3 linked regions of the Canis lupus familiaris genome follow. The protein of the gene in region 3 purifies or fractionates together with the protein of the main gene of each other region. This does not show direct contact. Links are inferred from orthologs where the notes say so. Each region holds a gene or a part of one and is shown on either strand. Other genes may lie near its edges.

Region 1 (3,465 bases), on a different chromosome or scaffold from region 3:
GGGTACCACCCTCTCTCCAGACAACAGATGCCAGCTACTGCCCTGGCTTTCTCTTATGGAAGGGCACTCACCATGGGTTCCTCTCTCCAGGTAGAGAGCTGAGTGCCTCGGCCACAACAACCAGGAGCAGGGGATGGTCGGATGGGGTGGGGTGGGGGTGCATGTGTTCCTTGCACACATGTGACTCAACTGAGAGGCCTGAGTACTTCCTACCTCCCTTGCCACCCCAGGATACTGGTTTTGAGTCCTGATGCTCCTCATGATGGCTGTCACTATCTCAGTTTCTCTGGATGTCAAGTGGACTTGGGAGACATAGCAGTGCCGCCGTAGCTCAGCATCATGGGGCAGCTGTTTCCGGGGTGGGGAGTCTGTGCAGCTCCTGTTCACAGGCCCTGGTCTCCAAGGCTTCCCTCCCAGGAAAAGCCCTGGGGGACAGTGCCTGGGACCCTCCCTTCTGAGTCGTGGTTCACACATGTCCCTCCCAGAGTGGCAGACATGGATCAGGTGGAGATATTTATTGACAGAAGGGGCCCTGGTCAGGCTGAGCCTCGAGCCTTCACCTCTAGCCAGAGCAACCAAGAGCACAAGAGGATGGGTGCCTGGCAGTGGGGGCAGCATGCCCAGCCTCGCTGTTCCCGGGCTTGGGAACCAGCCTGCAGCCGGCCTCAGGCGCTGGGAGCATACTGCAGCACCAGCCGGTCAAAGTCGTTCTCCTGCAATGTGGATTGGGGACAGTGGGAGCAGAAAGAGAAACAGAGAACGTGAGTCAAGACCTCAGTCACAGGCCTTCCCTGGCCCCGCCTATGGGGGGTCTGGGGATGTGGGACAGATCGCCAGCTCAGGCTCACCTTGGCCTGGTACTCCTTGATAAAGGGGTGGGACCTGTGTGCGTCCTTCAGCTGGGACAGGTAGCGGTTTGTCACCTGCAAGGGAAATGAGGCCAGAGGCCAGGTTAGTTGAATAGGGGGCACCCAGGTGGCTTGCACATGCAGAGCGAGAGGAGGGGTGAAGTGAGGGCTGCCCAGATGACCCTGGTCTCCCAAGCAAGGGCCCTGGTCTCCCATCACGTCCATCACCCCACTGTGAAATCAGGCTGATGACAGAGGACCCCCAGGGCTGGGGAGGGAAGAGGGGGCACCTGGCACAGAGCCCATGCTAGTGCACGGTTGGAGGATGCATCACCGGATTCAGGGGAGTAGGCTGGGAGGGACCTTAGGAGAGGACTAGGACTAGGAGGAGCAGAGGGCAGGTCAGGGGGAAGAGAGTTGGGAGGGGAGGTGAATTTGTTCTGGGCACACTATACAGAGAAACCCCAGAGATCTCAGTATTAGAACCTGGACCCCAGGAAGAGCCCTTGCTCCCAGCTCCCCTCACCTCCCCAGGCCCAGCTCAGACTCAGGGGGTGGGGCACCTGTCTCCCTGAGACTAGGGGTCCAGTGCTATTTCTGGGGTGAGTGGGACAGCTGTCCTGTCTATGCTGTTCTGCCCCAGCCCTGAAGCTGCCGGGGGGGGGGGGGGGGGCTTCTATAAGGGATGGGTGACCGACTGTCAGGAAGTCCTGGGGTCGGTCCTTGGCCAACTGTGCCAGTCAGTCACCTACAGAGAGCGGTGCCCCAGAGTTCTCCCTCCCTCCCCACCCTTAGACAACATGGGCTCACAGAGATTGCTCCCCTGGGCCCCTTTTCTCTCCACCAAGAGATGGCACAGATGGGGATCCCAGCTCAGCTGGCCCTCTGAGACACAGCTCATAGTTCATAGGGCCCATGGAGCAGCTGGCCTACAGCCTGGGCCAGGGTGGGGCCCTAGAGGATCACCTGCAACACCAACTTCCCAGGGCCCCTCGCGCCAATGCAACTGCACTCACCACCACCACCACCCCTGCCCCCAAAAGGAATGCGTTTCCGCTCAAGATGCTGAGCTTCATCTGGGGCTGGAGCCGTATCACAGACCCCTGCCCACCACACGCTGGCACCCTGAGGGCCAGAACACTTCCCCTGCACCAGGGGACCCTACCTCGGGTGGCTTGCCCAGGTGCTGTGACAGGACGATGAGGTTGATCAGTGTCTCTGGGTGGCCACTGTCCTGGAAACACAGGGAACACCAGGCGAGCAGGGTCAGCTCCCCTAGGCCCCCGACTTGGCCTGCCCATCCCCATCTCAGGTGGGAAAATGCCTCCCACTGACCCAAGGTGAAGACATGACCCATACAAGGTCATACCCTCAGAGGTGGAGCAGGTGGGGGCTGCAAGACCCAAAACGTGCCTACTGGCCATTCTGCGAGGTGGTGACCTCAGGACCCTCCTTTCTACCTAAGTGACGAGGGGGCCCCAGCCCAGCCCCAACCCCAACCCACCTTCTGACTACCTTTCTTTTCCCCAACAGCTGCTTCCCCTCTAAGCCCAGTGTCTCATCTGCGGACCAGGATGCAAAAGAGCCCCCTTGCTTGCTGTGATTTGGGAGGGGTGTATTTATTATACCAACCTCAAAGTAACAGAGCCCAACCCAAGATGGCCTGAATACCATCGCTGGCAAGCTGTCCCTCTTGCTGCAAAAATGAGGTCTGAGACCACAGGGCAGACCCCGCCTGCCCCTCCTGCTCTCCAGGGGCCTTGACAAGAAACTGCTGGGAAATTACCAGAACATCCAAGCGGATGACCTCACTCTACCCACCCACACAGGGCTCTGAAGCAGGGACACTGCAGGGAGCCCTAACTGGGCACCTGGAGCAGAGAACAGCAACCCAGACTCGTGGTGTTGCAGGTTCAAGGAGCTGTATGGACCCCAGCCTCCTGCCCAGACCCAGCTCCATGCCAGGGCTGCCCTTCTCTGGGGAAACTCAACTTCTCTCCACCTTAGTCTCCTCAGCTGTTGTCATAGGGCACAGTGGCATGTACTCACAGAAGCAAAACGAGGTGAACACAAAAAGGAATGGGAAGGACAGTGAAAAGCATGGGGTGGCACGCAGGCACCAGGATGAATGAGGCCACGGCATGCCTCAGGCTGCCGGGGGGGGGGGGGGGGGGCATGGCGTGGCAGGGACAGGGCCACAGGGCAGCAAGCCAGCCCAGGTGGTGTCTCAGAGAATGAGGACAGATGGGTGTTATTTAACTGGGGACCCCACTGCCCTCTCCTTCTAGGGCAGAGACACCCCACCAGGCCAGGCTTTCCTGACCAGCCCTGCAGGCATACAGCAGTCCAGTTGAGTCAGACCCTGTCAAGGAGGCATGGTGGCTGCCTGGCAGGGCAAGGCAGCTCCAAGTAAGCAGCCTGAGGAGCACCTGACTAATGGCCCTGGCCCGCCCCTGATCTGCAAACAAACTTCTGATGGTAACTCGACCCCTCACAGAGATACAGGGAGAAAGCTTCCTACTGGTGTCTGTTTCTCATTGTATCAAGAAATGTTTTCCAAAGATGGAAAGAAACTTTGACATGTCCTCTGATTATAAAAATAACACACAAGACCTCA
Region 2 (3,500 bases), on a different chromosome or scaffold from region 3:
TATGGGGCAGATATGTCTGTTCTCATTTCATAATCTACTCAAACCACTATCTATGAAGTGGCAGCACCTGAATTTGATCCCAGGTTTTTAGACTCCAAAGTACTGACAGGCTTTTTCACAGTTTTTCTTTAGGACTTCTGGGCATCCTTTTACTTAAGTAAGAGAGCCAAAACACACTAGGAGGAGGAGGAGAGTGAAGACAACAATGTCCCTTCACTCTCCTAAAGCTCAAGTATTCTCTAATAAAAAACAGTGAAGTTATCAGAAACATCCAGTTACAATGCAGGGCACTACCTGGCTTAAACACGCACTTAGGGATCCCTGGGTGGCTCAGCAGTTTAGCGCCTGCCTTCAGCCCAGGGCCCTGGTCCTGGAGTCCTGGGATCAAGTCCCACATCAGGCTCCCCGCGTGGAGCCTGCTTCTCCCTCTACCTGTAACTTGGCCTCTCTCTCTGTCTCTCATGAATAAATAAAAAAATAAAATAAAATCTTAAAAAAAAAAAAAACAAAAACCATGCACTTAGTAATTATAAGCACAGGAACAAACGTACATTTCTAACTTACCGTCTTCTGAACCTGTGATGATGATTGGCAACTCAGGATGAAAACTGGCACAAGACACATTTTGAGCATGTCCCTCCAGTGTCTGTACACATGTCTTATTCTGTAATCAAGACACAGAAAAAAAAAAATATTTTAAATATATCTATTTTTTTAATGAAAAATAACTCATCCTTAATTTTTCCAGTGCACAGATACATAAGTGATAATGGTTGTGACAATTTAAATAGTTTTTATATATAGAAATTTTTGAAACACAATTATCTTATGTGCATATTTTTTTCTAATTCTTTGACAATATAGGGAAATGTAATTGCAACTATCACATTTAAAGAAGAGATCTGATTTTCATCTGAATATCCTCCGCCCCCCGCAACTTCTAAGATAATATCTTTAATATTTTTATTCTGTACTTAAACACAAATCTGAATAAGGTGCTGAGTAACACTGGCTTTCTAAGCCTCATTTTATTAATAACTGTTTATGGAAATTTTGATCTAAGAAACAGAAAATCTGTCTCTTAGAGATAAAAAGCATAGTAACAAGAAGTCGTAATTAGGTTTACAAAGCCTATGTGACAACTGGCTATACCATGGCTATGTCATAGTATTATTTGTTGATCTGCTAGTTTTCAAATATGAACAGAAGTCTACCAGTGAGGATACTAGAGGATGTAATACTTCATTTTAACCAAAATGATTATAATTTCTACTGTTGAATGAAAAGTAAACATAATGGCATTTTATTTTAAAATCTCGATAGGTATTTGTTTTCATTTTTATGGAGAACTCTGAGACCACTATTTAGATGCACATACTGAAGCATTATTACTATGAATGGAGTTCAATAATAAAGTTTTAAGCGTTCTGAAGAAAACAGTGAAATCCATGTCTAATATACAGCAAAGCAAGATTATGAAAAAACTGTACCTGATAGTCCCATATTTTAACAAGACGGTCATCTGCACCTGAAATGAGGTATGGTTTATCACCACCACTGTAGTAATCGATGCAATTCACGCCTTTCTCATGTCCTTCCAGAGTGAAGTTTGGTGAGGAAGAACCCAATTGCCAAACCTTTAGAGAGCAACAGCATCTGCCAGTCAATAAGAGGCCTTGCTTTTCAGAAGGCAGTTCCACCACACTTCTAATACATTAGATAAAGTGTCAAAGCCCAGGAGAGGAAAACTAAAAACTAAAGAATGTATGTATTTTTTTTCATCCATTTGTTTCCATTCTTTCTCACCTTACTTGAATTTCCAGGGGGGGCAGAATAACTACAGTGTTCTCTGAAAATGCCAATTTCCAGGCTTTATCCCTAGAGAGTTTTTCCCTATCCCTACAGATTCTTCAGGAATCTAGATTTTTTTTTTTTTAACAGATACCCCAGTAATCCACAGGCTGTGTCTGAAGAACAATTCTTTAAAGGTAAGATGTGGTTTTTATGAGAATTTCAATATAAAGATAGTAAAAGTGGATTTAATTTAGTAAGGTTTATTAAAAAGAGAAAATTACCACTTAACTAAAAAATTTAGAGTATGGAAAAGTAGTCAAACATTACCATAGCACTACTATTGAGCTTTATCTTTACAAATAATTACTGAGAGCCTCCTACATAAGTGGCCCTCTAGGAGGTATAAAAGATGCGTAAACAAATGTTTACCACTGAATACATTTAATAAACTTTGTTAGAACCAAAGATAAGACAGTTTATGTTCTCAAGATATACCTTTTATTGAAGAAAATTTGAAACTAATTTCTCAAAGTTTCCAACCTATGTCAAAAACAAGGACAATCCAGCAAAAGGGGGAAAAAGGTCAAAACCCTAAGATATTTGGACAGATATCATTTAATAATAAATTATCATCAAATAACATAATATTTTACCTAAGTTAAAGGAAAATTAATAAAAATGTTACGTAGATATAAACATACATGCACACATGAAAGCAAAAATTAATGCAATTATCATTTTAAATCTATGCATATAGAGATTTTAAATACTGTAATGGAAAAAGGAGTATGACTACTCTCATGCAACATGTATTAAGTGTCTGGTACAAGCAAAGCACTGTGTTGCTGGCTACTGAGTGTCTGTTTGAGGGAGTGGGGGTGATACCAGTTCCTACCCCAAACATCAACATTTTGGAGGATAAAGATTTCTGAAGACACATTAGTTATCATTCAAAATAAGGGCCATAATAGAAACAAAAAGGAATGGAAGGAATGGGATGAGCATGGCTGGCTCTGTCTGGGGATGTAATGGAAGTCTGAAGAGAGCCTCTCAGAGTAAATAACGGTGCTAAGCCTTGAAAGATGAGTAGTTCTCCAGAGGAAAAAAAGTCAAAAGGGAAAAATAAAGAGTATCATAAGTAGAGGTAACAGCTGAATAAAGTTCTCTAGAAAATGGTGGGTAGGTCAGGGTTATAGGAGATGTCTCATAATATTAGCTGTGGCTAGTCTGGAAACCCTTGTATTCCACATTAAGGTACTGGGACTTTATCCTTAGATTGGGAGCAGAAAGGTCAAACCCATGTTTTAGAAAGACTTGGCAGCAGTAGGGAGAAATAAGAAAAAGAGAATGGAGGCAGATGAAATTTTAAAGTAAAATAGATTAATACTCAGCTGAGGTCAACAACAAATACACTGAAAGGAAATAGGAAACAGAATACACGAAAAGGAGAAGAAATAGGAAATAAGAGATACTGGCATATTTCTTATTCTAGGTTTGCAATGGTTTACAAGTTTTATAATAGATTGCTTTGACATGGAAAAACACTCCTCCCACTGAGCACAAGTTGTCATAATATTTTTCTAAACAGAATTATGTCCCTCCGGACCAAAGTGAGAAGTTCCTATTTTGACTTCAATATGAGCTCTTGAGAGAAACTTCTAAGCAGGAATAATTTTCTGGCACAGCCAGGAACACAATACCTAAAA
Region 3 (3,500 bases):
GCAAGAAAAAGAAAGGGAAGGCATTTAGTTTGGAAATGAAGAAGCAAAACTGTCTCTATTCACAGATAACATGATTATTTACAGACAACCTTAAGGAATACATAACAACTACTGGAACCAATAAGGGTACTGAGCAATGATACCAAGTTATGACAAAGAGAAAAAAATATTTTTATATATTAAATATATTTATATTTTAATATTTAAATATTATATTTACATATATTATATATAATATATATGATAAAGCATATATGTATATGTATTTTTATATACTACTAGCAGACAATAAAATAGGAATTTTAATAGAGTAAAAAAGCATAAAATATTTAGATACAAATTTAACAAAAGATGTGCAAGACTGATATAGTAAATGCTATAAAACACTGCTCAGAGAAATTAAAGAAGACCTAAATAAAGGGAGAGGCATACCATATTCATGAACTGGAATACGATGTTACTGTTACGATGTCAGTTTTCCCCAGATTTATTTATGGATTCAACATAACCCCAAGAATAATCCTAGCAGACTTTGTTTCATAGAAATTATAAGCTGATCCTAAACTTTATTTGGAAATGTAAAGGACCTAGAATATTAAAAAAGGACAAAGTTGGAAAATCACATGGCTTGACATTTAAGAGATACCATAAGGCTACATTAATCAACACATTGTGGCATAGGATTGACAAATAGATCAACAGAATGTGATAAGGAACCCAGATATACCTACAATTACATAGTTATCTGCCTTTCAGACAAAGATGCCAAAGCACTGCAGTGGGGAAAAAGAAGTCTTTTTCAATAAATTATGCTGGAATGACTAGATATTAGTATGGAAAAAAACCTTGAACTTACCATACACAATATATAAATATTTAATTCAAATTGGGTCATAGACCAAAATGTAAAAGCTAAACCCATAAAACATTTAGAAAACATAAGAAAATATCTTTAAGGCTTGGAAGTAGACAAAGGCAATATAACAGTGAAAGAAAGAAATTAATAAATTAGACTTTAACACTTTTGCTCATCAAAAGATACTGTTAAGAAACAGGCAAGCCAGAGACTGGGAGAAACATGATCATATTTAAACTTTTACCTTGAACTCATCTGAGATTTCAGAAACAAAAGAAGATATCTGCTTCATAAGCCTGTCCACACTGCTCTCACTCCCTGTTTTGAGGAGTGTAGTAATGGCCAGGGTAGCGATGCTTCTGTTTGAGTCTGTGATCAAGTTTTCTAAGTCCAGATTGCAGGCAGTGACAGCAGAGGGGTGCTTCATTGCCACCTTGTGGAAGGGCAAGAAAAATAAATTAAGCAAATTGCTACTAATGAAGACCAGAACTTTAAAAAACAAAGGAAGAGGAAAACAGATATTTTAATCAAGGTAAGTGGCTTTTAAAAATCTAAATGGGGAACCCTGGGTGGCGCAGGAACCCTGGGTGGCGCAGCGGTTCAGTGCCTGCCGTTGGCCCAGGGCGCGATCCTAGAGACCCGGGATCGAATCCCACGTTGGGCTCCCGGTGCATGGAGCCTGCTTCTCCCTCTGCCTATGTCTCTGCCTCTTTCTCTCTCTCTGTGTGACTATCATAAATAAAAATTTAAAAAAAATTATAAAAAAAAAATCTAAATAGGTCAAAAGTAATTGTTTTAAGAAGAACATTTTCAATTAATAAGGCATAATATATCACTTGACAAACACCTGCCAGAGTCATAGTGTAACATAGCACTTTCTCTTCCTAGGTCTCTAGTTTTCTATAATTTTTGTAATAATACCACAGCCTGTATTTTATTGCAGTTGACCTGTTTTTGTTTATAATACATGTGTACATGGATATATACGCTACTAGATGTAAGGATCTACTAGATGTAAGGATCTACCATGGTAAACACTGCTCAAAGACTGTTAATATCTTATCACTTAGAAAACACTTCTGTATTTAAACAAACTCCAGCCAAACTGGATTGCTCACACTCCCTAAAACATGTCTCATTCTCCTGCTTCTTTGCTTTTGTCGAAATTGTTCACCTCTCTGTCTCAATATTGGTATAGAATCCTTTACCCACGATTTAAAAAATTTGAAAACTCAGCAAAGTATTGGCATCAAAACTCATTTAACAGGAAAATCTGACCCAAAATAATATAAAATGAGTTAAATCTTAATTTATTCCACTTAGTGAGGATAGTCATATGTATAACAAAGAAATATTAATGTCTTAAAAAATATTAATGTGCCTTATGGTAGGGGACTGCTCTAGGCTCAATGGAGTTAATATATAAGAGACAGCACCATATTGCCTTCCCAAAATTCATAAAGTACTGAATTCTGAGACACATCTGTCCTTAAGATTATAGCTAAAGGCATGTGGACCTATATCACCTCTTAAAAGTATAACTCAAATTCTGTGAAGGTTCTTCTTTGGTTTTCCAGTAAAGATGCAATTAATTTGTAATAGATCACATACTGCCTTATGACAAGTCTTCTTCTACATTAAACTTTCATTTCAAATGTTTATGGTTCTTTGATTCATTCTATGTTTCTGAACTGTATCCTCTAAACCTGTGGCATCCAATATAGTAGCCAATAGTTAAATGTGACTACTAAGCACTTGGTATCTGGCTAGTCCAAATTAAGATACGCTCTAAACATGAAATAAGCACTGGATGTCACAGACTTAGTATGAAAAAACGTAAGGCAATATAGATCTTTAATAATTTTACACTGATTCCATGTTGACAAGACATTTTATATATATGAAGGTAAATAAAATATATTATTAAAATTAATTTCATCTTTAAAAAATTTTTTTAAAGATTTATTTATTTATTCATGATAGACACAGAGAACAAGAGAGGCAGAGACTCAGGCAGAGACACAGAGGGAGAAGTTACTGTGGTTACTATAAAATTTAAAATTACAAATGTGACTCACATTGTGTTGCACCAGCACTGTCCAAGAGAACTTTCTACAGTGATAGAAATGTTCTATATTTTTTCACTGACCAATATGGCAGTCACTAACCACATGATTACTGAGCAGATGGAGTATGACTAGAGTGACTGAGGAGCTAAATTATCAGGGTTTTTAAATTTTTAATTAATCTAAATGGAAATGGCCACTCATGGCTGATGGCTATCCTATTGGACAATGTGGTTTTCAGCCATAAAGTGCTTGAAAGTCAGAAATGAATTATAATCTTTAGTTGAATGGTAAAAGTAGCCATACATAAGGCCACAAATACAAGGAAGGTGCTCTAGAAGTGAAGACCATAAATCCTACCTTTCTATCTTGGGGAGAAAGTCAAATGCTTCACATGTAATGTTTCTCAATCAAACATTGATATAAGTCAGTAGTTGGCAAAGGGACACCTACCTTGTTCAAGGTCCTCACAGCTGCATATCTCAAAGCTGGCTTAGGAGAGCTACAGAAAAGCTGAAGAACTAGAAAGAAAAAAGATCTTTGTGAATAAAGCTCATTTCATCATATTGCATATATCT

What was found.
Region 1: the proteins of COPG2 (region 3) and COPE purify together in Homo sapiens (affinity purification with mass spectrometry; 5 studies listed by BioGRID and IntAct, with this or other methods). This does not show direct contact. The link is inferred for Canis lupus familiaris from reciprocal best matches to the Homo sapiens genes COPG2 and COPE.
Region 2: the proteins of COPG2 (region 3) and COPB2 fractionate together in Homo sapiens (co-fractionation; 4 studies listed by BioGRID and IntAct, with this or other methods). This does not show direct contact. The link is inferred for Canis lupus familiaris from reciprocal best matches to the Homo sapiens genes COPG2 and COPB2.

The regions. Positions count from the first base shown.
Region 1 is NC_049241.1:44,618,541-44,622,005, reverse strand, and holds the end of COPE (coatomer subunit epsilon), read right to left. Parts: exon of another isoform or gene 3,137-3,465; intron 2,912-3,136; exon of another isoform or gene 2,382-2,911; intron 2,083-2,381; coding exon 2,014-2,082; intron 924-2,013; coding exon 849-923; intron 762-848; exon of another isoform or gene 714-761; coding exon 666-713; 3' UTR 501-665; downstream 1-500. UniProt on the Homo sapiens protein: The coatomer is a cytosolic protein complex that binds to dilysine motifs and reversibly associates with Golgi non-clathrin-coated vesicles, which further mediate biosynthetic protein transport from the ER, via the Golgi up to the trans Golgi network.
Region 2 is NC_049244.1:36,083,786-36,087,285, forward strand, and holds part of COPB2 (coatomer subunit beta'), read right to left. Parts: intron 1,638-3,500; coding exon 1,491-1,637; intron 665-1,490; coding exon 565-664; intron 1-564. UniProt on the Homo sapiens protein: The coatomer is a cytosolic protein complex that binds to dilysine motifs and reversibly associates with Golgi non-clathrin-coated vesicles, which further mediate biosynthetic protein transport from the ER, via the Golgi up to the trans Golgi network.
Region 3 is NC_049235.1:6,238,136-6,241,635, reverse strand, and holds part of COPG2 (coatomer subunit gamma-2), read right to left. Parts: intron 3,444-3,500; coding exon 3,376-3,443; intron 1,290-3,375; coding exon 1,101-1,289; intron 1-1,100. UniProt on the Homo sapiens protein: The coatomer is a cytosolic protein complex that binds to dilysine motifs and reversibly associates with Golgi non-clathrin-coated vesicles, which further mediate biosynthetic protein transport from the ER, via the Golgi up to the trans Golgi network.